7 linked regions of the Oryctolagus cuniculus genome follow. The protein of the gene in region 1 purifies or fractionates together with the protein of each later gene. This does not show direct contact. Links are inferred from orthologs where the notes say so. Each region holds a gene or a part of one and is shown on either strand. Other genes may lie near its edges. The genes, in order: DIS3L, EXOSC2, EXOSC3, EXOSC6, EIF4E2, HBS1L and GIGYF2.

Evidence for each region.
Region 2: the proteins of DIS3L (region 1) and EXOSC2 purify together in Homo sapiens (affinity purification with mass spectrometry; 5 studies listed by BioGRID and IntAct, with this or other methods). This does not show direct contact. The link is inferred for Oryctolagus cuniculus from reciprocal best matches to the Homo sapiens genes DIS3L and EXOSC2.
Region 3: the proteins of DIS3L (region 1) and EXOSC3 purify together in Homo sapiens (affinity purification with mass spectrometry; 6 studies listed by BioGRID and IntAct, counting the BioPlex papers as one, with this or other methods). This does not show direct contact. The link is inferred for Oryctolagus cuniculus from reciprocal best matches to the Homo sapiens genes DIS3L and EXOSC3.
Region 4: the proteins of DIS3L (region 1) and EXOSC6 purify together in Homo sapiens (affinity purification with mass spectrometry; 3 studies listed by BioGRID and IntAct, with this or other methods). This does not show direct contact. The link is inferred for Oryctolagus cuniculus from reciprocal best matches to the Homo sapiens genes DIS3L and EXOSC6.
Region 5: the proteins of DIS3L (region 1) and EIF4E2 purify together in Homo sapiens (affinity purification with mass spectrometry; 3 studies listed by BioGRID and IntAct, with this or other methods). This does not show direct contact. The link is inferred for Oryctolagus cuniculus from reciprocal best matches to the Homo sapiens genes DIS3L and EIF4E2.
Region 6: the proteins of DIS3L (region 1) and HBS1L purify together in Homo sapiens (affinity purification with mass spectrometry; 5 studies listed by BioGRID and IntAct, with this or other methods). This does not show direct contact. The link is inferred for Oryctolagus cuniculus from reciprocal best matches to the Homo sapiens genes DIS3L and HBS1L.
Region 7: the proteins of DIS3L (region 1) and GIGYF2 purify together in Homo sapiens (affinity purification with mass spectrometry; 3 studies listed by BioGRID and IntAct, with this or other methods). This does not show direct contact. The link is inferred for Oryctolagus cuniculus from reciprocal best matches to the Homo sapiens genes DIS3L and GIGYF2.

The regions. Positions count from the first base shown.
Region 1 is NC_091443.1:89,272,569-89,276,599, reverse strand, and holds the start of DIS3L (DIS3-like exonuclease 1), read right to left. Parts: upstream 2,801-4,031; 5' UTR 2,566-2,800; coding exon 2,256-2,565; intron 1,688-2,255; exon of another isoform or gene 1,585-1,687; intron 1,389-1,584; coding exon 1,238-1,388; intron 1-1,237. UniProt on the Homo sapiens protein: Catalytic component of the RNA exosome complex which has 3'->5' exoribonuclease activity and participates in a multitude of cellular RNA processing and degradation events.
Region 2 is NC_091432.1:233,342,217-233,346,421, reverse strand, and holds the start of EXOSC2 (exosome complex component RRP4), read right to left. Parts: upstream 2,801-4,205; 5' UTR 2,746-2,800; coding exon 2,624-2,745; intron 1-2,623. UniProt on the Homo sapiens protein: Non-catalytic component of the RNA exosome complex which has 3'->5' exoribonuclease activity and participates in a multitude of cellular RNA processing and degradation events.
Region 3 is NC_091432.1:200,611,408-200,615,365, forward strand, and holds the start of EXOSC3 (exosome complex component RRP40), read right to left. Parts: upstream 2,801-3,958; 5' UTR 2,734-2,800; coding exon 2,410-2,733; intron 1,169-2,409; coding exon 1,019-1,168; intron 1-1,018. UniProt on the Homo sapiens protein: Non-catalytic component of the RNA exosome complex which has 3'->5' exoribonuclease activity and participates in a multitude of cellular RNA processing and degradation events.
Region 4 is NC_091449.1:56,939,944-56,942,863, forward strand, and holds EXOSC6 (exosome complex component MTR3), read left to right. Parts: upstream 1-1,249; 5' UTR 1,250-1,323; coding exon 1,324-2,139; 3' UTR 2,140-2,420; downstream 2,421-2,920. UniProt on the Homo sapiens protein: Non-catalytic component of the RNA exosome complex which has 3'->5' exoribonuclease activity and participates in a multitude of cellular RNA processing and degradation events.
Region 5 is NC_091434.1:6,905,251-6,908,750, forward strand, and holds part of EIF4E2 (eukaryotic translation initiation factor 4E type 2), read right to left. Parts: intron 511-3,500; coding exon 376-510; intron 1-375. UniProt on the Homo sapiens protein: Recognizes and binds the 7-methylguanosine-containing mRNA cap during an early step in the initiation. Acts as a repressor of translation initiation.
Region 6 is NC_091436.1:33,928,296-33,931,795, reverse strand, and holds part of HBS1L (HBS1-like protein), read right to left. Parts: intron 3,151-3,500; coding exon 2,894-3,150; intron 2,450-2,893; coding exon 2,284-2,449; intron 1-2,283. UniProt on the Homo sapiens protein: GTPase component of the Pelota-HBS1L complex, a complex that recognizes stalled ribosomes and triggers the No-Go Decay (NGD) pathway.
Region 7 is NC_091434.1:6,789,376-6,793,645, forward strand, and holds the start of GIGYF2 (GRB10-interacting GYF protein 2), read right to left. Parts: upstream 2,801-4,270; 5' UTR 2,683-2,800; intron 2,330-2,682; exon of another isoform or gene 2,032-2,329; intron 1-2,031. UniProt on the Homo sapiens protein: Key component of the 4EHP-GYF2 complex, a multiprotein complex that acts as a repressor of translation initiation. In the 4EHP-GYF2 complex, acts as a factor that bridges EIF4E2 to ZFP36/TTP, linking translation repression with mRNA decay.

The sequences.
Region 1 (4,031 bases):
GCCCAAGTCCCTGGGTGCCTTCCACCCCTGTGGGAGACATGGAGCTCCAGCTGTCACTCTTTCAAATAAAGAAATTTTAGTACAGAGCAGGTGAGGGCAGTTAGTGCTTAGTGGGTACCCTGACATCTTCAGATCCCAGCCATACAGCTTCCCGTTAGACCCCAGAAGAGATCTACTAGTTTACTCCCTAAATCACAATGGCCAGCCCTCGCTCAGGCCAAAGAAGCTGCAGCTGGATCTCCCACCTGGGTGCAGGGGCCCACTCCTGCAGCCTCCCAGGGCTCAAACCAGCAGGAAGCCAGACTGATACGTGAGAACATCCCAAGCACCAAACACCTGCCCCAACCTTGCTCCTTTCATCTAATCCCAGGAAGTCAACAGGTTTGTGGTAAGAGGGACTAAGACTGCGTGCCCTAAGGCCTCGGAACAGCTCAAAAAGTGCTTACTACATGGAAAGCCCAGGGTGTCACCTGGAAGCCTCTTTCCTAACTGCTCCTCCCTTGTTTTCACATTTAGTATATGTGAGACAGGACTAAGCAGTGGAAAAACCAATCCTTTTTCATCAAGTTCACTCATTTCGAAATGTTCAAGAGAAAAGACATTTAAATACCCATGCTTCGCCTTTGAATGTCACAGGAATTGGTTTGGAAAGCAATCCTTAATATTAAAAATATTTTAGAAAACAGGTTGAAAAGGCTCGCAGTGTGTTAGCAATGGGAATATAACAGCAAATTGATTTTAGTAGCAGAAATATGACGCCTGGAGCAGCATTTAAACCTGGATATGAAAAAATATATCTTTGTGTCTGAATAAAATAAACTTCACACTCATTTTAAAATATTCAATCTGGAAAAGCCTGTAAACAATCCAGCTAATGCATATTTTTTAAAAAAAAACTGACCATTATCTTAAGGATAATTTATCATTTTCACACAAATAAACACCTCACTTTTTACCACCAAGATCTGAAAAGAAAATTCCAAAATTTCTGCTTATTTAATAACTCGGGGTATTAAGAGGTTGGATATGCCGTTAGCATGCCACGGCTGTACGCCTCAAATCAAAGCATAGACACTTTCCCCAGTGGTTAGCTGTTTTAAAAAATAAGTTTAGGGGCCAGCTCTGTGGCGCAGCAGGTTAACTCCCTGGCCTGAAGCACTGGTATCCCATATGGGATGCTGGTTGAGTCTCAAATCTTTTCTGTGGAGCTGGGGGATGGTGATCAATACAAACATACCTCCACCCTCTTTTCGAATGTAGAGCGTCAGTCACAGTTTGCAGCCAAATCACGCCCTTCAATTCCGGCATTTCCAAGATTTCAAAGTAATCGAAAACTGAGCTGTCTGGCACCATGTAATGGGTCACCTCTGCAGGTAAGAGTTTGCCCACTGAAACACAAAACAGAAGAGATCAGAGAACATTTAACCCTAGGTCATCCACAGGGGCAAAACAACTTCCGGGCACTTTGTACATAACGACAGGCCCGGGGTTCAGCCAAACTGGGCAGCTTCATCGTGTTTCGAAGCTGCGAGAAATGTGGGCTCCGCAGGGTGGGTGGCGTGTACGCTTCTGCGCGTTAACCACCTGCGGACGCCCCGCAAGGTCAGGGCCAGCTTCTGGAGGGAAGCCCAGGGCCGGCTGCCTAGAAACGACGCCCGGTGCAAGCCGCGTGCAGTGCAGGGCTGTCCACCCTGCCCCGGAGCTGCATGGAGGAGCCCCCTGGCTGCGCTCCCCGTGCCCCTGCGGGGAGGGGACCCGGCCATCACTGGAGAACCCCAGAGGGCAAGGTCTGGCGCGCACAGCTCCACACCAGCTTCGCCCCGCTACCCCCACCACGCCAGCCCGGTTCGCGAGCCCGGCCGTGAAGCGGGTTCTCCCCCACAGCCAGGTGGGCGGCGTCAGCGCTGTGGAGCGGGCAGGCCGCGCGCCGCCTCTGCCTCTGCGTGGGGCTGGCCGCCCCGGCCCTTCCCGCCGCAGGATCGCGCCGCCCTGCGCACGGGAAGAGGCAGGCTGCGGGGGCCCTCGGGCCGCTCGAGCGAGCGCCAGGCTCTCCCTCCGGGGTTTCCACGAGGCAGCGCGGAGTCGTCAGGGAGCTCCGTGCGAGGAGCGCCCCGGCGCCCGCGGGCCTGGGCCTCTCTCGCCTCGGTGCCGCGGCCGGGGCCTCGCGCTCCGCCTCCCGGCCCTGCCTGGCGCGCCCGGCGCCTCTCGCCCCGCGCCGCCCGCCGCCCGCCCGGCCCTCGGCGAGCGCCTCTGACCGTTGCAGCAGTACTCGGGCTGGGAGCACAGCGCGCTGTTACAGGGCACGCAGGGCCGCAGGTAGTGTTCTCTCACGACCCGCAGCGGACAGCGGTAGACGGCGTTCACCGTGATCACTCGCTCCGTCTTCTCCAGCATGTTTCCCTCGCCCGTTCTCCAGTAACCCGACGAGCTGGGCGAGCAGGCGGAGACGAGGCCGAGGTTTGAGGCCCGCCCCTCGGCCAGGGCGCCGGACACCGAACCCGCCGTAGCGGCCTCCTCTTCGGAGTGGATGAGACGAGGCCATCTTCCAGCATCTGTGTCGCTCATCTTGCTGCTGCTGTGGGGTCTTGGAGCTCAGGAAAGAAGGTTGTCCAAAAGTGATGGGGTAAGGTGGAGGGCAGCGCGTTTATAAACTCTTGGGTTGAAAGGTTTAGGGCGACCAGATGGGATTATCCCGCCTTTGGGACTATCGCACCCATGGGTGTGGATCAGGCTGCTAAGAATGCTGAGTTTCGGTGAATAAGTCAGCAACCCTCCCAGCCCACCGATGCCCCCTTAAAAAAGGCAGTCTCTATTCTGACTTGCATGTGTCTTTTATACTGGCAGAAATTCAAACCATGTGGGTAAAATGAGTAGCAATCCTGAATTTGGAGGTGCCGTTGGGCCCTAATTAAACAGCCCCTGGCCAAGTAATGCTTAGAACTGCCAGGGGCGGGCACCTGGGGGCATGTTTCCAATCTGATAACTTCAGCCCCTCCTGAGCTGACACACCCTTGGTGGAGAGGGGGCCCACCAGTTTGCCTCCAGGCACTTAACCACAGCCTTGGAAAAGCAGCACAGGCCTGCATGGGTCCCTTTTGAACTCACTCCAGGTCAAAGGCGTGGGGCGTCACTATGACCATTTTATAGACTATGATGGGGGTGAAGGCCAGGGCTCCCCGGTTATTAGCTGGGGCGGTCACCAGTGAATCAGGACAGGTCTACAGGTGATGGCCATGTTGTTCACAGAGGAATGAAACAGAGGCGCTTCACCTGGGGAGGTGATTAGAGGGTACCCGGTGAAGGTGCGTGAAGGCAGCTCAACCAAGGGGCTGGAGCACGTGGCCCCCTCCCCCACCCCGATGCTGCAGTGGGCAGGCCTAGGGGTGCCCGCTCACCCACTCACTCACTCCGGGTAGCAAGCTACTCTGCAAGTGTCAGAGGGTGTGGACAAGATCCAACATGGAGCTGCATCAAAGAGGCAGACAGCGCAGAGCCGGCCAGCAGGCCACAGCACTGAAAAGCCCAGAAGGCAACCGCCACTGCCAGAGGCCCCTTCTCCCTCAGGAGGTCCACGCTAGGGACCCCAGAGGGCGGGATGTAGCCACAGTTGTCCCTATATAAAAATGCTTCTGGATTCACGGGAAGCCTGTGCTTGGGCTGTTTGTGGGTGTAGCTGGCAGCTCCTCGCTTTTGGGTAATGGCGTCTGGTTGGTGGCCGCGGCCTCTGGACTGGGATGTACCGTGCTCCCAGTGAAGGCAGGGGAGCTGAGCCCAAGCCATGGCCAGTACAGTGGTAGCGGGCGGATTGACCATTGCTGCTGCAGGATTTGCAGGCTATTATGTGTTACAAGCTATGAAGCATATGGAGCAAGTTTTTCAAAGTCTACCAACATCTGCCTTCAGTGGCGGTGATTACAGAGGTGGATTTGAACCCAAAATGAGAAGCATTAATACCAGGTGTAGGCCCTACTGCCAATAAAGGACAAATAAGAGATGCACATCGACAAATTATGCTTTTAAATCACCCAGAC
Region 2 (4,205 bases), on another chromosome or scaffold:
CTGCCGCCGTATCCCCAAGCACGCTCTCCATTTATGCCTTATTTGTTGCTGTTTAAGATTTATTTATTTATTTCAAAGGCAGAGTGACAGGGAGACAGACAGACATATCTTCCATCCCTGGCTCACTCCCCACATGGCTGCAAGGGCTGGGGCTGGGTCAAGCCAGGCCAGGAGCCCTGAGCTCCACCAGGTCTCCCACGTGTGTGCAGGGCCCAAGCCCTTGGGCCATCTTCTGCTGCCCTCCCAGGCCACAGCAGAGAGCTGGATCAGAAGTGGAGCAGCCGGGACTCTAACCTGGGCTGGGATACGGGCTGCTGGGGCCTCAAGCCATGGCCTAACCCCTGGTGCCGCAACACTGACCCCACTCCTTGTCTGCTGTTGTGCTAACGTATTCCTTTTTCTTTTTCTTTTCTTTTTTTTGACAGGCAGAGTGGACAGTGAGAGAGAGAAAGGTCTTCCTTTGCTGTTGGTTCACCCCCCAATGGCCACCACGGCCGGCGCACCGCGCTGATCCGATGGCAGGAGCCAGGTGCTTTTCCTGGTCTCCCATGGGGTGCAGGGCCCAAGCACTTGGGCCATCCTCCACTGCACTCCCTGGCCACAGCAGACAGCTGGCCTGGAAGAGGGGCAACCGGGACAGAATCCGGCGCCCCGACCGGGACTAGAACCCGGTGTGCCGGCGCTGCAGGTGGAGGATTAGCCTAGTGAGCCGCGGCGCCGGCCAACATATTCCTCACTATCTGTGTCTCCCCAGACGCCAACTCCGCCAGGACAGAATTCATTTTGTTCACTGCTACACCCAGACCACACGGACTACAAATATATGGCGAAAGTACGAACACAGGAATGAATTTTAACATTTCGGAGATTCCAACAACCTCAAACTTGGGGTGGGGCCAGCAGGTTGGGCCTCCGCCTGCAGCGCCGGCATCCCATGTGGGTGCCAGTTCAAGTCCTGGCTGCTCCACTTCCCGTCCAGCTCCCTGCTATGGCCTGGGAGAGCAGCAGAGGAGGGCCCAGTGCTTGGGCCCCTGCACCTGCCCGGGAGCCCCGGGAGAAGTTAGGGGAGTGGTGGTGGGCGTGCAAGTGTTCAGCCTGTAGCTAAGAAGCCGGCCTCCCACATCTGGTGCCTGGGTCTGACTGCTGGCTCCGGCTTCCTGCGAACACAGACCCGGGGAAGCGGCAGTGACAACTCAAGCGACTGGCTCTCTGCCACCCACGTGGGAGACCCACGTTGCGCTCCTGGCTCCTGGCTCCAGCCAGAGGGTTGCAGGCAGTTGAGAAGTGAAACAACACTCTGTCTCTCTCAAAAATAAATAAGCAGGGGCCGGCGCCGCGGCTCACTTGGTTAATCCTCCACCTGTGGCACTGGCATCCCATATGGGCACTGGGTTCGAGTCCCAGTCACTCCTCTTCCTGTCCAGCTCTCTGCTGTGGCCCGGGAGTGCAGTGGAGGATGGCCCAAGTGCTTCGGCCCTGCACCCCATGGGAGACCAGGAGAAGCACCTGGCTCCTGCCATCGGATCAGCACAGCGCAAGGCCCATGGCGGCCATTGGGGGGGTGAACCAACAGACGAAGACCTTTCTGTCTCTCTCACTGTCCACTCTGCCTGTCAAATAAATAAAAATAAACAAATATTGATGCTGAAGATGATGTACACCCGGCAAACGTGCATTCCTACAAAAAACCAAGAGGCTGAAACACTGCCAGTGCTTATCTCTGCCGGCGATCTAACGGTGAGTCTTGTATCTTTCCCATCCGACCCTTCAGTAACTCCCGTCAGAAATTCTTACAGATCAGGAACCGGACCTCTGATAAGGTGACTGGCAGGCGGGGAGCCCCCCTTGTCCCCCAACTACAAGGCCCTGCACTGCCCTGCGGCACAGCGTGTATTCATGCAAGGTAGTTCATGCAACCTTGAGTCTTCCTAAGCCCACACAGGAACGACCCCTACCCCGGGCCCAAGCTGGGTGGGGGGCTCAGGGAGGAGGAGGGAAGCCAAGTCTGCCCTCCGTCCGCCCCCGGCTGGGAACCGCAGGGTCCCCGACTTACCGCCCCCGCCCCCGCACACCGCCGGGACCCGCGGAGTCCCCTTCCTCCCGCCCCCGCCCCCAGACACCGCCGGGACCCGCAGAGACCCCGACTTACCGCCCCCCGCCCCCGCCCCCAGACACCGCCGGGACCCGCAGAGACCCCGATTTACCGCCCCCGGACACGGCCGGGACCCGCAGAGACCCCGATTTACCGCCCCCGGACACGGCCGGGACCCGCAGAGACCCCGATTTACCGCCCCCGGACACGGCCGAGACCCGCAGAGACCCCGACTTACCGCCCCCCGCCCCCGCCCCCGGACACCGCCGGGACCCGCAGAGTCCCCCTCCTCCCGCCCCCGCCCCCGGACACGGCCGGACCCGTAGAGTCCCCTTCCTCCCGCCCCCAGCAAGGAACGCCCAGAGATCGGCGCTTCAGACCCCCAGAGTCGGGGCCGCCAGAGTGCAGGCGAGGCGGCGTCAGGGACTCGTCTCGCAGACGACGCCGAGGGGCTGCCCTGGGCCCCGGTCGGGCCCGCAGATCACGTGCAGAGCCCTGCGGCCGCCCCCTGCACCCCGGGGCCCCCCGTACCGCATGAAGCCCGTGTCCGTGGTGATCGTGTCCCCCGGCACCACCAGGTGCTTCTTGGTATCACGCCCCAGACTCTCGCTGGGAAGCTTCCTCGCCACCGGAAGGCGCATCTCCATCGCCATCTTGGCGCCAATAACCTGCGCAGGCGCAGCTCGGCCCGGAGCCGCGGAATTCAGCCCGGCAACTCCGAGAGGGGCGGTCTGGGGCGGGGCCTCAGGGCAGCCGCCAATGGGAGCGCACGGTGTGGCAGCCATGTTGACTACTGGCAACCGTTATGTTAACCCGAAGGGGAGGAATGCGGAGTTTCCACGTTTATTACTGGCAAGGGTGCACCTGTGGCGTGATGGCATTCCACAAGCTATTGTTTGTGGCTTTTTATCAAAGCTGTCTGGTACTGCCATCCTGCTTATTGTTTACCAGCGTTAGACGTAATTGAGGAATGGGCCTCTGAGTTTCCGTCCAGCTCTAAGCCGCTAAAATCTGATTTTTGTATGACAGCGCCCAGGAGGACACGATTTCAACAGAAAGCATAGCCATACTTTCTTTTTTTCAAAAGATTTATTGGGACTGGCGCTGGGACGCAGTGGGGGTAAGCCGCTGCCTGCAGCGCTGATTTCCCATTGGGCGCCCAGCTGCTCCACTTCCCATCCAGCTCCCTGCTGATGCGCCTGGGAAAGCAGTGGAAGATGGCCCAAGTGCTGGGGCCCCTGCACCCTCGTGGGAGACCTGGAGGAAGCTCCTGGCTTCGGCCTGGCCCAGTTCTGGCCCTTGCAGCCATTTGAGGAGTGAACCAGTGGATGGAAGACCTCTCTGTCTCACTGTCTCTCTGTCTCTCTCTCTCTCTCTAACTCTGCCTTTCAAATAAATAAATGCTTTTAAAAAGACAGTGTTTAAGGAGCCAAGCAATTTCTAAAGCAGTGTTCCAAGTTTAGGGAAAAAAGATTTATTTGAAGGGCAAAGCCACAGGGAGAGACAGCGAAAGATCTCCCATCTGATGGTTCACTCCCCAAGTGGCCAGAAACTAGGAGCCAGGAACTCCCCCCACAGGTCTCCCATGCAGGTGCAGGGGCCCGAGCACTTGGGCCATCCCCTGCTGCTTTCCCAGGAGCATTAGCAGGGGGCTGGATCGGAAGTGGAGCGGCCGGGACTTGAACCTGCACCCACATGAGATGCCAGAATAGAAGGTGATGGCTTAACCCATTGTGCCCTGGCGCCAGCCCCAAGCGCCCCACTTCACACTGTTCCCAGTGGCCCCAGTCGGTCAGAACAGCCGCCTCACGGCTGCTGGGTCAACCCAGCCCGCACCCCCACCCACAGGCAGCACGCCGGACACTGCTGAGCCAGCTGACTTCTCTGAAAAAAGAGAAAGAGAAGTGAAGCGAAGCAGGCCACACCCCGCGAGGCAGGTGTGTGTGGTGGAGAGGGCAAATGCGCACACACAACCAAGGCCTGCACCTGCGTCTGTGCCCACAGCAGCCTCCGCCCGCGTGCCGGGCACTGCCTGTCACGTCACAGGAGTCCCTGCCGGTGGAGCGATGCCTGTCCCGTGTGGTCTTATCTGCCACTCCTGCTTAAAGGAGCT
Region 3 (3,958 bases), on another chromosome or scaffold:
CTGTTCTGTTCACTCAAGGAAACATTAAATATCTACTTTTTGTCAGTGACCACGTTCCTAGAGAGGAACAAAACACTGTCTGCCTTTCAGAAGCATTTGGTCTTGGAGTGCAGCTGGGATGCACAGATTAGATTTCATTCGAGGCCAAATTCAGTTAAGTGCTAAAGCAAAGATAAAAAAGTGATGACTGGCAATGCCTTCACAAAGATGGTCCTGTTCACCCCAGATCCCAAAGGATGAGCCTGTGCAATCCCGACAGGGAACAACCTGAATGACCCAAGCAAGATACACGGGCAGGAAACTGAGTTCAGTAGAGTATGGTGTGATTCACGCACGCTGTGAAGGAGGTAACGCTGAGGAATTCTGCAGGCTTTGAAGAATCTTCCTTTTAGTCTGAGAAAGGGGATATCAGCTCCCCAAAGCCTCTATGGATGGGGTAAAAGGGTGGAGGTAAAGGAGTTAATAGGATCACTCACTGACTTCAGTTGTGGGGGCGGGGGTTTAAGGCCTGAACTTGCAAAGTGGAGACAAAGGGATGGAGGTAGGCTCAAAATAGGATTAAGCAACTAGTGACTAGAGGTGAAAGGGCAAAGAAGCCACCAAGTTCCTGGCTTGGGTAGACAGGAAGGGTGTGGCTATGCGACCTGAGAAGGCCAATTGCAAACTTTAGGTAAGAAGATGACTCCTCTGCAGGGCGAACAGACAGCTGCTGCTGATCTGCACCACCTGTCCTTCCCCCTCTCTAAGGCTGTGCCTGACCTTGGCCAGTGGATACGGACCTAACAGGTAACAGCGGAGAAAACAGAACCTCTCCCCTCCAAGGTGAAGCCTCCCAGGAACCAACGTCACAAATATAAACCAAGTGTGTGCCTCTGCTCCTGCAGACTCTGAAGGAACTCTGAGAGCCCGAACACTCAGAGATGATCCCGCACAGCTGGGAGAATGGCCAGGCTCTGGAGACAGGTCAGGCAGCTGCTGGATAAATGAACGTCCTAGGGGTCAAAGGCGCCATCATTACCTGCACATTAGGTCTGTTTCTTTTCGTTGCACCTTCAAATGCCAAGTAAGACAAAGAAGCTGGCTCACTCCCTCCAACGTCAACTTTGAATATATCTCCAGACTTAGCCGTCACTATGCCAATCACGTGGTCTCCTTTCACTGGAACATACTACAAAACAGAATTGAGAGAACAGCCATAAATGGCAAGCTATCATTGCAAGATATCTCCAGCAAGTTAGCCTTAGTTGTTGTCATTAAAGAGATAATTTTAAATATTCCGAAATGCAAGTTTACAAGTTAACCCATACAAGTTTGATTATATGCCATTTTCAGTAAAAGAGAGATCACAGTATAAACTCTCAGATTTACAGCTTCTATTCATTTTTTTAAAGATTTATTTATTTTTATTTGAGAATCAGAGTTACACAGAAAGGAGAGAGGAGGATAGAGGAAGAGGGGGAAAGGGGGAGAGAGGTCTTCCATCCGATGGGTCACTCCCCAGTTGGCCACAGCAGCCAGAGCTGCGCCGATCCAAAACCAGGAGCCTGGAGCTTCCTCCAGGTCTCCCATGTAGGTGCAGGGGCCCAATGACTTGGGCCATCTTCTACTGCTTTCCCAGGCCATAGCAAAGAGCTGGATCAGAAGAGGAGCAGCCGGGACTCGAATGGGCGCCCATAAGGGATGCCGGTGCTTCAGACCAGGGCGTTAACCTGCTGCACCACAAGTGGCCCCTACAGCTTCTATTCATTTGAGCCAGTATTTACCAGTAAGTCCCTAGCTTCTGCTGCATCCAAGTCCAGTGGCACTGGAATCCTTAGAACCAGGAAAGCACATTCCATTGTTAGACACTTTTTCCTACCAGGAAAGTTCTCACCTAAGAGCGATTTAACTCCCTGTAACTGCCACTCATTGAGCCTGGTTCTGCTCGCTGGGACGCCAAAGGTCAAGCCTGCTGTTCCAAAACCACTGGGATTTTAATGACAATAACCATGATTCAGTCTCCAGAGGCCTCTGTCAGGCTGCATCCCTACTGTTCATGGTCCTACATACAGTGGCTGCTGAGGTGGGCCCTGCACTACGGTGGTTCCAAATCAGCCTTAACGCAGCAAGGCACCACGGCCGCGCCCCCCACCCCTGACTTAACACAAGGCCCCTCGGCGGCCCCTTCCACGCTCACAGCCGCGCCCCCACCCCCCGCCTTAACACTGCAAGGCCCCACGGCGGCCTCTTCCACGCTCACGGCCGCGCCCCCACCCCCCGCCCTAACACAGGAAGACCCCTCGGCGGCCTCTTCCACGCTCACGGCAGCGCCCCCACCCTCCGCCTTAACACTGCAAGGCCCCACGGCGGCTTCTTCCATGCTCACGGCCGCGCCCCCACCTCCCCGTCCCCCCCGGGATCCCAGCTCACCCGCTTCTGTTGCGAGTCCACCCAGTAAACGCCACCGCCACTGCCACTGCTGGGCTCCTTGTGGCGGAGGAGGCCGCACTTGGTGACCAGAAGACGATCGCCAGAGCGCCGCAAGCCCGGGCCGCACACCACGCGCACGCGCGAGCACACCCCGGCATTCAGGCGTAACGGCCGCTCCCCGGCCCCGCCAGCGCCGTCTGCGTCCTCCTGTTCCGGCAGCAGCAGCTCCTCTCCTGGGAGCACCACCTGGTTCAGAACCGTGCACGCCGCCCGCGCCCCGCTGCCCGCGAGAGACTCAGCTGTGACAGGCGCAGATTCAGCCATAGTAGGCGTCACTAAACACTGCTTCCGGTACCCAACTTCCGCTTCCGTCTCCGAGTGGAGCAGCCAGCCCACGGCCGGATTTCCGCTTCCGGCCGTGGCTGTCGTTTGGCCTTGCACCCAAGTCTGCGAAGCCGGGTCTCTGCCAGCAGGCGGGTGCTCCTCGCCCAAGGCGGCTGTGATTGTGTCAGGACCCGAGCACCTGCCTCGTGGTCTGCCCGCGGGTCGGCAGTGAGCCACGCCCAGCTTGAGTCCACTGGAGAAGCCTGCACTTCCGGTCGCACCCCTGGACTACAAGATACTTCTCATAGGATCCCTGGAGAATTACGGGAGCTGAACAGAGGGACTTTGGAAACTACTTTGTGGGGCTCTTTTCGGACGCTACCTTCAGAAGTGTGCTGACCTTTACCAGGAAAAGTACTTTTTCTTCAAAGTAAAACTTCTTGGGGACCTGCGTTGTGGCCTAGTGGGTAAGGCTGCTGTGGTTCGAGTGCCGGCTGCTCCACTTCCCATCCAGCTCCCTGCTCACCTGGGAAAGCAGCAGAGGATGGTCCAAATCCTCGGGTTCCTGCATCCGCCTGGGAGATCTGGATGAAGCTCCAGGCTCCTGGCTTGGGTCTGGCTCAGCCCCTGCCTTGGAGGCCATTTGGGGAGTGAACCAGGAGGTGGAAGAGCTCTGTCGCTCTGTAACTCTGCCTTTTAAATAAATAAAATAAATCATAAAAAAAAAAAACACCTTGATTGTAACTAGAGAAGAAAACGTATTGGTCTTGCCTGTTTGTGTGCTCTTCCATGCCGACCACTCTAGTTCTGATTGTAGCCCAAGGTCTGGTATGAAACAATGCCTGGGCCGGCGCCGAGGCTCACTAGGCTAATCCTCCGCCTGCGGCGCCGGCACTCCAGGTTCTAGTCCCGGTCCGGGCGCCGGATTCTGTCCCAGCTGCTCCTCTTCCAGTCCAGCTCTCTGCTGTGGCCAGGGAGTGCAGTGGAGGATGGCCCAAGTGCTTGGGCCCTGCACCCCATGGGAGACCAGGAGAAGCACCTGGCACCTGGCTCTTGGCTTCGGATCAGCGCGGTGCGCCGGCAGCGGCGGCCATTGGAGGGTGAACCAATGGCAAAAGGAAGACCTTTCTCTCTGTCTCTCTCTCTCACTGTCCACTCTCCCTGTCAAAAAAAAAGAAAAAAAGAAACAATGCCTGATAAGTAAATGAATATAGTAATACTGTGA
Region 4 (2,920 bases), on another chromosome or scaffold:
CTCATTGATGCCTTCTGGTCATTACCTCCCAGCATGCACCCCTGCTGACAGCTCTTGGCTACCCGAGGGTGTGTAAAACATGCTGACTCCAGCTCAGTCCAGCCCTAAACCCTTGAACTCAGTGTTTGTGGAGACGGGGGTGAGATGGAGAGAGAGGCTCTAATAATTCAGTGGTCCGAGGGGTTACAAAGCAAAGGTGCGCCTGGAGAACCTCCATTGTTTTTTTCTTTTAAAGATTGATTGATTTGAAGGGCAGAGTTACAGAAAAGCAGAGAGAGAGAGGTCTTCCATCCACTGGTTCACTACCCAAAGGGCTGCAGTGGCCGGAGCTGTGCTGATCCGAAGCCAGGAGCTTCCTCCAGGTCTCCCACGCGTGTGCAGGGGCCCAAGCACTTGGGCCATCTTCCACTGCTTTCCCAGGCCATAGCAGAGAGCTGGATTGGAGCAGCTGGTCTCAAACTGGTGCTCACATCGGATGCCAGCCCTGCAGGCGGCGGCTCTGGCTCATGTCCCTCCCCTCCCTCTGAAGCTCTTCATGTGGGGTCAGGGTATGAGGCTGGAGGGCAGTCTCTGGTACAGAAGATGTTTAAGGTGCAGCTATTGCCTCCTACTCTAGTGTCTGCCCATCACTCCCACTTGACCCAAAGACACTGGCCGGTCTCTGAGTCCAGTTTCCCCAAGTCTAAAATGGCAGAGTTTGGAAGGTGAAGGTACTGCTTGCCTGTGCCAGCCCCAACGGATGTCCTGTCCTCTGGATACAGCGGCTGGCCCCAGAGCCCAGGTCACGGTGCTGCTGACAGTGGAGGGAGAAGGAAAAGCAGGTGCATGCTGGGGTGAGGGGCGGTTCTCAGGGTGGGAAGGGGAGGCAGAAAGGGGGTGTTGATGTCCGTGTTAATGATACAAAGAGACTTACATAAAGCCAGTGCTGGAGAGAGATTCCATCCATCATATAGGCCTTCGTGCCAGCCAGGGGCTTGGGAGTGAGCAAGGCCAACTCCCCGGTGGGGACATATAAAATAGTCCCACAGATTAGTGCAAAACTAAGATAACTACAGCCTGCATAAGTGAGAAGACTAAGCGCTCGGGTAGGACCTGGCCTGGGAGACAGTCAACCGGCCCGTCCAGCCCTGGGCAACCTTGCTGCGGCTTCAAAGCCTTGGCGCCGCAGCCGTTCTCCCTCCACGGCGCCAGGGGGCAGTGCAGCCGCGACTGCCTGCGGCTCTCCCGACAGCCCCCGCGCGAGCGCGCGTCTTCAAGCGGGCGGAAGAGCCGGAGCGCGCGGTAGGACGACGGGCGGAAGCGGTGTGCTCGCCAGGTGCCGCCATGCCCGGGGACCACCGCCGCATCCGCGGACCAGACGAGTCGCAGCCGCCGCAGCTGTACGCCGCCGACGAGGAAGAGGAGCCCGCCGCCCGAGACCCGACGCGGCTGCGGCCGGTGTACGCGCGCGCCGGGCTGCTGAGCCAGGCCAAGGGCTCGGCCTACCTGGAGGCGGGAGGCACCAAGGTGCTGTGCGCCGTGTCGGGCCCACGCCAGGTCGAGGGCAGCGAGCGAGGGAGCGGCCCTGCCGGCGCCGGCGGCGAGGCCCCGGCCGCGCTGCGCGGCCGCCTGGTCTGCGATTTCCGCCGTGCGCCTTTCTCGGGCCGCCGGCGCCGGGCGCCTCCGGGCGGCGGCGAGGAGCGCGAGCTGGCCCTGGCGTTGCAGGAGGCGCTGGAGCCGGCCGTGCGCCTGAGCCGCTACCCGCGCGCGCAGCTCGAGGTGTCGGCGCTGCTGCTGGAGGACGGCGGCTCGGCGCTGGCCGCCGCCCTCACGGCCGCCGCCCTCGCCCTGGCCGACGCGGGCGTCGAGATGTACGACCTGGTGGTGGGCTGCGGCCTGAGCCGCGCGCAGGGGCCCACGCCCGCCTGGCTGCTGGACCCGACGCGGCTGGAGGAGGAGCGCGCCGCCGCCGGCCTCACCGTGGCCCTCATGCCGGTGCTCAACCAGGTGGCCGGGCTGCTGGGCAGCGGGGAGGGCGACGCGACCGAGACTTGGGCCGAAGCCGTGCGGCTGGGCCTCGAGGGCTGCCAGCGACTCTACCCGGTGCTGCAGCAGTGCCTGGTGCGGGCCGCCCGCCGCAGGGGCGCCGCCCTGCCCTGAGCCGGCGGGCGAAGTGGAGCCGCGAGCGGACAGAGCGTGCGGAGATGGACAGTTGCGTTGGAACGGCTGTCGACAGACGAACGTTTGACGATCTTTCCAGTCCCCAGCCAGAAGCCAGCGCAGGAAGCCGCGGGCTGCTTGCTTACTCCCGAGCTGGGAAGGACTTGAGCCGGCCTGGTCCGGAGCGCGGGATCTGTGTGACTCCGGAGACGATGGACAGGGCGCTGCGCCTTCTCACAGCGGGACTGAAACAACAAAACCGTTTTTTTTTGTATTCGAAATACGCGTGTCGTGGTTCTTAGTACAGGATTTTCAGAGAGAGCAAGGCTCCCTGGCGGTGAGGCTCAGGACAGCACTGCCCCGCCTGTGTCGTGTCCCTTGGACCGGTGAGCCGACCAGACGGGCCAGAATCCTGAAGCAGCTGCGGGTTTAGAAGTGGGCCGTGTGCTTGGCAGGAAGACACGCCGCCGCCTCCGGTGCCCGTGAGGGCGGCTGCTGCGCCGGGAGGAGAGTTGGACGGCCCGGGAGCACTCGGGGGTCCCGGAGCTCATGGCTGTGCCGCGAGAGGCCCCAGCGCAGGGTTCCCGAGAGCTGGAAAGGGTTTTGCTGGGGGTGGAAGCCGGATCCCAGCCTTCCGTGGCCAGGGCCACAGCAGTCCAGTCAAAGGCCTGCACTGCCGCTGAGTGGGCCCCTGGGCTGCCTTCATCTGCCCGTTGTCCAGCCTGAGCCCCTGGGGAGAGGGCGGGTGAACTGGCTTCTGGGAAAGCAGAGGAGCATGGCT
Region 5 (3,500 bases), on another chromosome or scaffold:
AAAACCCTAATGAGAGGTTCTTAAATACAAAGGAAACTTGAAACTTTGCTTCTGACTTTACCATGCAACTCTACGAAGATGGACACCACGTGTAACGACCACAGGACACTCTGCATGTCCTAAGGACTCAATAAATACGTACTTAAAAGACAGAAAGATAAAACTGTACTTTTCTGTTATGCCTTTCTGATCAATACCACCTACTAACTCTGGATGTCAAATACGACATCTCAGAGGGAACACATCTGCCGCTGGGGGCTCGGTCAGCGAGTTAGAAAGCAGCACCTTACACGGGTCACCAAGAGGGCGAGCACCCAGCGCGACGGGCACGGCCGAGCGGACGCCGAGGCCCGCCCTGGCCCACTAGGTACTCACAGAGGCGAAGGTGCCGATCTGTTTGATGTTCTGTTCGTAGCTCTGGGAGCTGGTGGGGCGGCCCGGGGTCCTCCTGGAGTACCAGAACGTGTAGTTGTATTGCAGGGGGTGCTCTGCCGGTCCAGGGACAACAGCCTGGGGAGCAGAGGTCTGTCAGCCCTGGTCTGCCACATGCTCCGAGTCAGAGACTTCACAGCACACCCTCACCGCTTCCACAGCGGAGAGGACAAAACACCAAGCACGAGCACACGCCCAGGCGCCTGCTTACACAGTGAGCTCCCACTCTCCGCCCCGCACTGCTGGGGTGGCTTCTGTGACTTTCTACCTCATCTCACAGCTATCTGTTTGCATCTTATCTTTTTGTTTGTTTTTGACAGGCAGAGTGCACAGTGAGAGAGAGAGAGAGACAAAGAAAGGTCTTCCTTTGCCGTTGGTTCACCCTCCAATGGCTGCCGCGGCCAGCGCGCTGCGGCCGGCGCATCTCGCTGATCCGAAGCCAGGAGCCAGGTGCTTCTCCTGGTCTCCCATGGGGTGCAGGGCACAAGCACTTGGGCCATCCTCCACTGCACTCCCTGGCCACAGCAGAGAGCTGGCCTGGAAGAGGGGCAACCGGGAGAGAATCCGGCGCCCTGACCGGGACTAGAACCCGGTGTGCTGGCGCCGCAAGGCAGAGGATTAGCCTGTTGAGCCGCGGCGCCGGCCTTGCATCTTATCTTAACCTATGTCCAGTCTAGCACTGCTTCTTCTATGACGCTCTTTATCACTTATTAGTGGCAAGATGCTTTACCTGTTAGTACCTCACCTGTTGCTTTTTTTTCAGATTTATTTATTTGAAAGACAGAGAGAATGAGGGAGGGAGGAAGGGGGAGGGGGGAGAGGGAGGGGGGGAGAGAGAGAGAGAGAGAGAGAGATAGGATCTTCCACCCACTGATTCACTCCCAAATGGCTACAACAGCCAGGACTGAGCCAGGCTGAAGCCAGAAGCCAGCAGTTTCTTCCATGTCTCCCAGGTGGGTGCAGGGTCCCAGGCACTGGGGCCATCCTCTGCTGCTTTCCCAGGCGCTTTAGCAGGGAGCTGGGTCGACAGTGGGGCTGGGAGGTACTGGAGCACCGGTGCTGCAGGCAGGGGCTTTAAGACGCCAAGCCACAGCGTTGACCCCTGTATCTCAGCTTCTTACTTGCAAAATGAGGAAAACCGCCACCACTCCACAGGGCTGCTGGCAGGACATCAGAGGCCTAGCTAGAGCCTAGCACTGAGGAGGAGCTCAGTTAAGTGTCAGCCACTATTAGAAATGCTCATATCGAATCTTAATGAAGAATGGGATGGGAGAGGGAGTACGAGATGGGATGGTTTGCGGGTGAGAGGGTGGTTATGCGGGGGAAGAACCGCTGCTAGAATCCAAAAGTTATACTTTCAGAATTTGTATTTACTAAATAAAAGTTTTCTATTAAAAAAATTTTTTTGAAATAAAAAAAAAGCAAGCAAGCAATGCTCATATCAAACGTGAGCCCTGGGGCGGGTGTTTATCCTGGCAGTTCAGATGATTACAGCCCACGCCCAAGTGCCTGGGTTGAGACGCAGCTCCTGACTACAGGTTCCTGCTAACAGGGACCCTGGGAAGCAGCAGTGAAGGCCCAAGGGACTGGGCTCCTGCCACCCAGTTAGGAGCCCTGGCCCGAGTTCCTAGCTGCTGGCACCACTCCAGTTGTTCTAGGCACTTGAGGAGTGAATTAGTTTGCCTCTCTCTTCCTAAAAAACAAAACAAAACAAAAAGCAAAAGTAAATAAATGAACGCAAGTTCTGGGGCCACTGCTGTGGCATAGCAGGTAAGGCCGCTGCCTGCCGCGCCGGTATCCCATACGGATGCTGATTCAAGTCCTGGCTGCTCCTCTTCCAATCCAGCTCCCTGCTAATGTGCTTGGGAAAGTAGTAGAGGATGGCCCAAGTGTTTGGGTCCCTGAGCCCACGTGGGAGACCTGGAAGAAGCTCCCGCATTGCGGCCATTTGGGGAGGGAACCAGCAGATGGAAGATCTCTCTTTCTCTGACTCTCCCTCTTTCTGTAACTCTGTCTTTAAAATAAATAATAAAAATAAATCTTTTTTTAAAAACAAGCGGTGCAGCACTGTGGCACGGGGGGTAAAGCTGCTGCCTGCAGCTCCAGCATCTCACACGGGTAGCGGTGTGAGTCCTGGCTACTCCACTGTTGATCCAGCTACTGCACTGTTGGCCTGAAAACGTGGTGGAGGGTGGCCCAAGTGTTTAGGCCCCTGTACCCACATGGGAGACCTGGAGGAAGCTCCTGGCTCCTGGCTCCTGGCTCCAGCCTAGCTCAGGCCCGGCTGCTGTCACTATTTGGGGAGTGAACCAGTGGACGGAAGACCTCTCTTCTCCCACCTGTGGGGAGCAACTGGGAGCAACTCGGACTAGACTAAGTTACTCGAATTAAGACTTATTCTATGCATCTGCTCTCCCACAATATGGCGCTGGGAGAGGAGGAACCAGCTTCTACACAGCTGCCTCTCACCAACTTGACAAGCTGCAGGACCTGCTCCTGATTGGAGGAGAGCAGTGTACTCGGCGTGTGGGTAGCAGAGTTGGGATTGGTGGAAGAGGACTATAAAGGAGGAGAGAGACAACATGCACCAGGAACATCTAAGGGGGACACCTGTGCAGCCCCCGAGAGAGCCGGCCAGCGGTGTACCGCTCCCCCGCGGAAGTGGGGAATGTGGCAGGGGGAACCGCCCTTCCACGGAGGTGGAAGGGTCAGTAGCCAACCCGGGAAGAACCAGCAGCCAACCCGGGAAGGACCAGCAGCCAACCTGGGAAGAACCAGCAGCAAACCCGGGGAGGGCCGAGCAGACGAAAGAACAGCGCAGGGTCCTGTGTCGTTCCTCCATGAAGAGGGGGAGCAACATAATGGTGCCGTGACTCGGATATGAAGCCTAGGCAGGGCTTAGTGTCGTTCCTCCACGAAGAGGGGGAGCGACACGCACCCCTTCTACCCCCATCTCTCTGCGACTTTGCCTTTCAAATAAACACATCTTATTAAAAAGAAATGAAAGTTCCTTGACCCACAGTCTAATTCACGTTTGTGTCTTCTCAGCACCTAGCATAAAATGCTAC
Region 6 (3,500 bases), on another chromosome or scaffold:
AAAACATTGTTAGAATGCACTATATAAAACAAGAGTTCTATGGATTAAATCATTAAACTATAGGCTGACAAGTAACAATGCGAATTTTATTACATAAATCATTATTTTGAATAATTAAAGTATCAATTAGGGCTGGAATTTCTGCTAAATACAATTATACTTCTATGGCATTAAAACAAGGTTGTGGATACAGCAAGAACTCAATCAAAAGGATTGTTATTTCCCATTTCCTTGCTTTTTTATGTTTTAGTAAGAAATAGTATGAAGTATAAATAAAGAAAAATATATGGGGACATCTCTAGTGGGGGGAAAATAAATACTGCACATGAGAAAAGACAACATGAAAACTCATCACTATCAACAGGTAATGTCCTTATGTTTCATGGTTATACCTCACCTATTTATACAAATAAACTTGTGAAATTCTCATTTGCAAGGTTAGTCAGTAAGTAATGCATTTAGAAAATATGGAGAATCCAAGGAGACCTAACTTTTTAAAAACTGAGAGAAATGAATGGCAGTTTACTTTGTGTGCCTTTCCATCTCCTCTGGAGACCAGACACAATGAACGCCTCTTTTCAGTCACAAGAATGTAGATTGAGATTATAGGGAAGCTGAGGGAAGGTCCACAAGGTCACTGAATCACTCTTGACCTCTGGAACTTAGAAGAGGAACTCGGGTGGGCAATCATCGTAGTACCCGCTGCATCATCCAAAGCAGTGGATGACAGCCCTCTCTTTCATTTTCACGAGTCCCAACGATTCTAATGAACTCAGGTCCCCCCTCAGAGTCAGGTGACTATGGTTTCCTCAGTCATGGCATCTGAGTTTAATCTGAAGTGATGGGCCAAAGTGAGGTATAGTTCTCCTTAATAATCTCCAAATAACCTATGGATCACGGCATTTCAGAATAGTGATGAACCATGACTAATCTATGTAATAAAGGGATATTCTAAAAATAGTATCATCCTGAGAAACCGAAGACTAGTAGCAGTAAAAGTACAACAGTCAGTAAGCAGCAACATCATCCAAAAAAGACCCCTAAAATGAGTGATGATTATAGGAATCAGATCATTAGCTAACTTGCCAGCTTAATTCACAAATTAATTAAATTCGACCAAATTATTTGCACTCAAATTATACTGTCTCCAATCTCTTATTTACTAGATGACACAAAGAAAACTAAAAGCCATATACTTTAACAATCTGCTTGTTGGGCTGACAAGCAGAAATTATGTATGCTTCTAATACTGATGTCATATACAATTCTACTGTTTACAAAAAACTGGCAGCTGTCCGGCTAATTTTTCTTACCAAGGTGGAAAACAGGTTCATGGTGCTATACAGAATTTATAAGACACTTACAAGGGGATAAAAACCTGCTATGATATAAAGTCCTACTTATTAGAAGAGCTAAGGAACATTGTGACCAGTTTTACCAATGATTACCTTATATATTATAATGCAGGTTATCCAAGACTATGAGAAAATAAACATATCCATGAAAAAAGTATAGAAATCTAAATATCTCTAATTATACTCAGATTGAGGAAATTGGGGGAATGCAATTTAATTTAGTCATCATTTTGAAACAGTTACACTTAATCACTAAGGTGCCCTTGGTTCTCCCACCGTTTACAGCCCTAAAATAATACATATCACTACTACAAGAAATATTGTACTTTAGCCAGAAGTATATGAGTGGCTGTATTCTCCTGCTAGAATTTCCACCTCTCCCCTCACCAAATTAGCATTGAACATAGTAACAAAGACAGAAGGGAGTAACTGACTGAATTATATCTCAGTGGCAGGTTATGGGTTTAATTACTTATTTAAAGTATAAAATAAGTAAGTGTGGTAATCTAGATATAATGGTCACTTTGATCCTGAAAGAAGAGAGTTCACTACTGTTGCCTTTCCTTTACAACCTATTATAAAATTAAGTCTTAACTCATAATTTAAATTCAATATCAAGGCAATCAGGCATAAAGGGAAGTAGTAACAGGATCTTCTCCCATAGAATAATTAGCTTAGGGTTTTTACTAATTAACTTCTATGTGTTTTTTGTTTTAGCTTTGATTTATTCTCATAGAATTTGGGAGAGTACAAAGAAGCTATTTATAATGAAAATTACAAGAAATACTTCTCTCTGATAATTAGAAGTTTCTCTCTGAATATAAAATCCCTAAAGTATTTCATGGCATGTTTCATATATTCAACACATATTACTAATTTAAAAAGACTATATCATTTCAAACTGAAAATTCTGAAATATAGTGACTACCTTTCTCTTTCTTCACCAGTCTCATCCAAGACCCATGCATACGCAAACGAAGCTTTGCCAGCCTTTTTAGACTCCTGTTCATACTTATGCATAGTTCTTTTGTTTACATTACCCAGGAGATAAAGCATATGGCCCATCAGAGTACTTTTCCCAGCATCAACATGACCTATGGAAAATTGATTCAAGATTAATACCAGGCACATTTCACAAGCTGTTCACACTGAGGCGTTGCATGACAGTGTAATTCAATAGTTCACTGCAGTGTTTATGGAGTATACTGAATACCAATTTTTAACAAACGACAGATAAAACATCTAAATGCGGGGTGGGGGGGGCATGTCCCTTTAGAGGGGGAGATTTCCCTCATTTTTATAAATTAAAATTTTCAATAAGACATGCCATTCTCAAAATGTGCACAACATGAAAATGCGGCAACAGGTCCACCAGCCTCCTTGGAAACGCGGCATCATTTCCGCAGGGTGACCAGGAAGCCATTATGATGCAACAGCTCCTTGCTTTCTGTCCATTACACCCACAGAGGAACACAGAGCTTCGGGGCTGCCCCACAAGGCAGTGAGGCTCGCGAACCTGGAGGCACAAAGGGCATTACCAATGACCACTAAGTTGAGGAGCTGCTTCCCTCCTTGCCGCTTCTCCAGTTCGGCTTTCACATCGATTTGCTGCCGCAGCCTGCCGGGCTTCTTCACCAGCGCCGCCGGGGAGCTCTGTTCTTCCGACACCTGCCCCGCGTGAGGCGCGGGAGCGGATTTCGCCGTGTGCTCCAGACCGCCACCAGAAGCAGCACTGCTGGTATCGTCACCTTTCTGAGGTGTGTGGAAACCATGACCATTCTCTTGGGAAGTTACTCTAAAGAAAGCAGTTAGGAAAACACTGTTTTAAGCCGACTCTACTTATGAGTCCTTTTTTTTCCATAACTCTTTACACCTCAAACCCAAATGCCTCTGCCAAGTGGTTAGAGTTTGCTAAAAGGGGGATGGCATAAGCTAGACCCAATCACACAAATACAAACTGGAAGATCCCAGATGAAAAAAATACTCTATCAAAGGAAAAAAAAAAAATCCTGTAAACTAACTAAACCTTAAAGTCCAAGCCTTGGTCATATAATCAATCCTATCAAAAAAGATGGCATAAAGGAGGTATAAAGGAGGTTTTTTTTTTATGGCACCACGTTACTGCAGATAAAATTAGCATTAAAA
Region 7 (4,270 bases), on another chromosome or scaffold:
CAGAAAACTAGTCTGAAAGGTAAAGGAGGCAAATGGAGGAATAAAAACCAGCAAAGTTCTATGCATGTAAAATGCGACAAAGGATATACGAATTCATAGAGGTCCCTGGATACTAGAACCTAGACTGGACAGCAGAGAATTCAGAAAAATTCTTTACTGACCAGATTATGGCAGACTTGAGTTTACAATGATTCCTCCTAATTACATTCCTTAATCATCTGCATCTAAACTTTACAGGAAGTCCCTCCTTTCCCCACATTTTCAAATATCCTGAAATGTCCAAAGATCCTCTTTTTAGAAAAAAAATTCCTTCTGAAAAATACACTGTTTATTTTTTAAGTTTTACTTTTAGTGGGGAAATTCACCACAGCTGCCTGGCATATATTCATTATCTGAATTTTCCAAATTGGGGGGGAGGGGAAGGTGGCAGGAGGAGAGCGTGCGGAAGGGGGTGGAGCTGCTGGCCCAGAACTCCAGAACCTCGATTTCCCTTTCCGAGTCTCATGAGCAATCCTTTCCCCTTAGCAGGGGCAGACCCACCCTGCTGCTCCGAGCCTCCCTCGAACCCTGGCCGCTGGGCGTAGGCTGGCCTGGCTGGTCACCGGTCACCTCCCACCTCGGTCACCTCGGTCGTCAGGCTCAGGGTCTTTGTGCTCGCTGCCCCCAGCTTGGAGCGCTCTTCCAGCACACTGCTAAAGGAACAGCACCTCTACCTGCCAGGCCTCCCCTCGGATACTGGCTTTCCCACGAAGCCTTCTCCAGCCCTCTTAATAACGTCCTGCCTCCCTGTGTCATTTTTTCACATCACTTACACAATATACAGTCTCCGACTGACGATGGTTCAACTTACAGTTTTTCTACCTTGCAAAGATGGGAAAGAAATATGCATTCAGTAGAGACCGTACTGGGAACCTGAATGTGGATCCTCTCCTGGGCTGGCAACACAGTCCGACTCTCTCTCACTATACAAGCAGAAACTCCAGTCACCTCAAGATCACAGGGACACAACCCACTTCACAGTGCTCTGTGTGCTCAAGCTGTGATATGTAAAGGCCAGGTGGGGTCAATGCATCTTCAACTAGTGATGAGTTTATGGAGCTGTAGCTTCACAGTAAGCAAGGAGCGTCTTCATATTCTACCTAAGAATTTATTTTCTGTCTACCAGTGAGTTCTACTGAGACAGGAATTGGTCTGTTTTGCTTCCAGCACCCAACACTGTAGTTAAGTGCTCAAGAACTGTCAAGTAAATGAATGCAGAAATAAATGAGTAAATAAATAAGCAGGTTGTCCCTTCTCCCTCCCAGCCTCAAAATCCTAAAATGTTCTCTGAAGCGTCAAGAGGGTGTGAAGGCTTTTCCTTCCCGGTGAATCACCACCATCGCCAGTGCATTCCTCAGCGTGAGATGTTCAAGGAAGGGTCATGTGTCCTTTTTCCAAATACATGCCACATTTACGTGTTCTTCCTAGGATCCTCTTCGGACGTCAACGGCTGACGGAACAGAAAAGTGCATATTCCAGCTCGAGCGCTCCAGTCTGCTACTCCGGCGGGTAAAACACACGAAAACACCAATAAACGAGAGAAGGCGTCTGTGCGCTCAGCAAAACGGGCCAACGTGGAAGGCCAGCGATGCGGCCAGAAGGTTGGAAGTTCGTGTACAGAAGGACCAAAAAAAAAAAAATCTTTTCTTCTATCCTAGGAAGTCACCAGCTTCCAAAAAGGAAATAGTACATATGGAAAAAGTATCTCCCCTGAACACAGCACTGGGGATCAAGCCGCCTAGGAGCCAGGGCTCAGCACTGGGCTGCGAGGTCCACTGCAATACTTACCTGCCTACAGAGACTAGGTGTGCCTAGGTGCTTTGACTTTCAGGAAAACGGGGGCGGCGGGGGGTGCGCGCAAAGCCACGCTCCTGCTCTCCGCACACGGTCACCAACCCGCCTTCACACCCTCCTGGCCTGCCCGGCGGCCTCATGTGTCGGCCACCACGCTGAAGTGTTCGGAGTGCTTCGTGGGAAACTGCTGACACTTACGGCCACCGTGCCCGCTTCCACCGGAGGTGCGCCTTCCAGTCCCCAAAGCTGCCGCGGGCTCCCCTGGCCCAGCCTCGGATCATGGCTCCACCTCGCCTCGGGCCTGGTCCAGACCCAGTCCTCTCGCCGCGGAAGGAGCCTCCCCCGGCCAGATGCTCGGCGGGCACCACCGGGGCGCACCCGCCGGGGGCCAGGTGTGGGCAGCTGTCTGCCGGCAGCGGCTGCTCCCCGGGGCACCGGGGCCGGGCGGGTGGGCAGGCCCCGCAAGGCGAGCCCTCCGGCCCCGAGCGACCGGTCTGACACTGCCCACCCCACCACCCTGCCCCCTTCCTCGGCTCGCCCCGCAGTGCCACGGGGGCCCGGCGGGGGGGGGGGGTCCCGCGGCCGAGCCGCGCACGGGCCCGCCGTGCCTCTCGCCCGGGCGGAGGCTCCCTCCGGCCCCGCACCTGACCTGTCCCCCCTCGCCTGACGTCCCAGCCGGCCGCGGCCGCCGCCGGGGCGGCCTGTGGGTGTCCCCATGCGGCCGGGCCGGGTCTGGCCGGAGCGGGAGGACGTGAGTGCGGACGCAAGGCCAGGCGGCCCGAGGCGCGGCGGCAGGGCCAGGGCGCAGAGCGGAGCCGGACAGGGGAGCGGGACGGAGTCGCTGGTTACCTGCGGTCCGGGACAGGGAGTCTCTCAGAACCCAAGTCAGTCCTCAGCCTCAACAACACAAGATGGCCGACACGTCGCCACGCACATCACGTGACCGCGCCCCGCTCCGGCCCCGCCCCCGGCCCGCCCCGCTCCCCTCCCCGCTCCCCAGCCTCCCACGACATCTTTCCCTTTCCGCCGCCTCCCGCCCCTTTGCCCGGACACGCCCCCTCCCGAGACCCGGATGCGAGGCCGGGCGAGGGCGGGGCGGCGGCAGCGCGCAGGCGCCTGGGGGGCCCGTGGCGGCCGCTCCGCGCCTGCCCTTGGGTTGAGTGGAGCTGGCGTGCGGACTTGGACCCGGGCCGGGGCCTGTGACTCACTGTCCTGCACACCCAAGCCACGGCCCAGCTGCAGCGCAGAAGCCTCTCCATCACTGACGAGCTGGCTTTCCGAACCAGAACTTTCCCACCGCTTTGCGCGCAGAATTTCCCTGCGCGTTTGCTGTCCTGGAGCGCACGGGAGAGCGCCGAGATCCGATGATCCAGTTTCTCATCGGGGTGACAGCTCTGGCAGAACGGGGGATCCTCCCCAGAGCTGACGCGAAAGTCTCCCGCTGCGGCACACCTAGCAGTATCTGGGATCCGCTGAGGCTGGCCGGCCGGTCGTTCTTTTTCTGAAATCCCCGTTCCTAGCTGGGCGCCCTGAATTTCACTTGCCAAATCTGGCAACTCTGCCCCTCTCAGGCCATCCCGTTCCCTCCCGGGCCTGCACCCTCTCCCTTCGCGTCAGGTCAGCCGGCCACCCTCTGCAGCTCCCCGCTGATGGCCCCAGGGCTCGGGCCCCTGCCACCCACCTGGGAGCCCGGGACGGAGGTTCAGGCTCCTGGCTTCCTCCTGGCCCAGCCGGGGGCCATCTGGGGAGTGAGCTGGCCGAAGGTTGGAAGAGCTCTCTCCGGGTTTCTGTCTCTCCCTCCCTCTGTAACTCTGCCTTTCGAATACATAAACTCTTTAAAAAATACTCAAATGTCTCCCACCTTAAACATTTATGTTAAAAACCCCAATTCCTCCTTCACTTTCCTCCCTGCCTCTCCGTTACCTTTGAAAGCCAAACTGACCCCAAAGAGCTGTTTAGATGCAGTTTCTCAATTCCCAAGGCTAGAATGCAATCCTCACCCCCCCACCCCCACCCCCCCATTCTACCCCCACCCCTTCCTCCTTAACAACCTACCTCCCTACCCTCGCCCTGAGGACGCTGCAGTTCTCACCTCCCGCTGGTGCTTCCCTGTCTTCAACACGTTGACCACTTCCTGCTCTCTGAAACACTGCCTTCCCTTCACCTTCATTCCCTTGATGCCCAGAGTGAGTGGCCGGACAACCTCAGCAGGGCCGGGGAGCTTGGTAGAAATGCGGAGGCTTGGGGTCAGCGTTTGGTGCGGCAGGGAAGACACCACAGGAGAAGCCCGCGTCCACATTGGAGGGACCTGGGTTTAAGTCCCCGCTCTGCTTCCCATGCAGCTTCCTGCTAATGTCCCCCCTGGGAGGCAGCGGGTACTTGATCCCGGCCACCCACATCGGAGGCCAGTGTGGAGTTTTGGGCTCCTAGCTCCCAA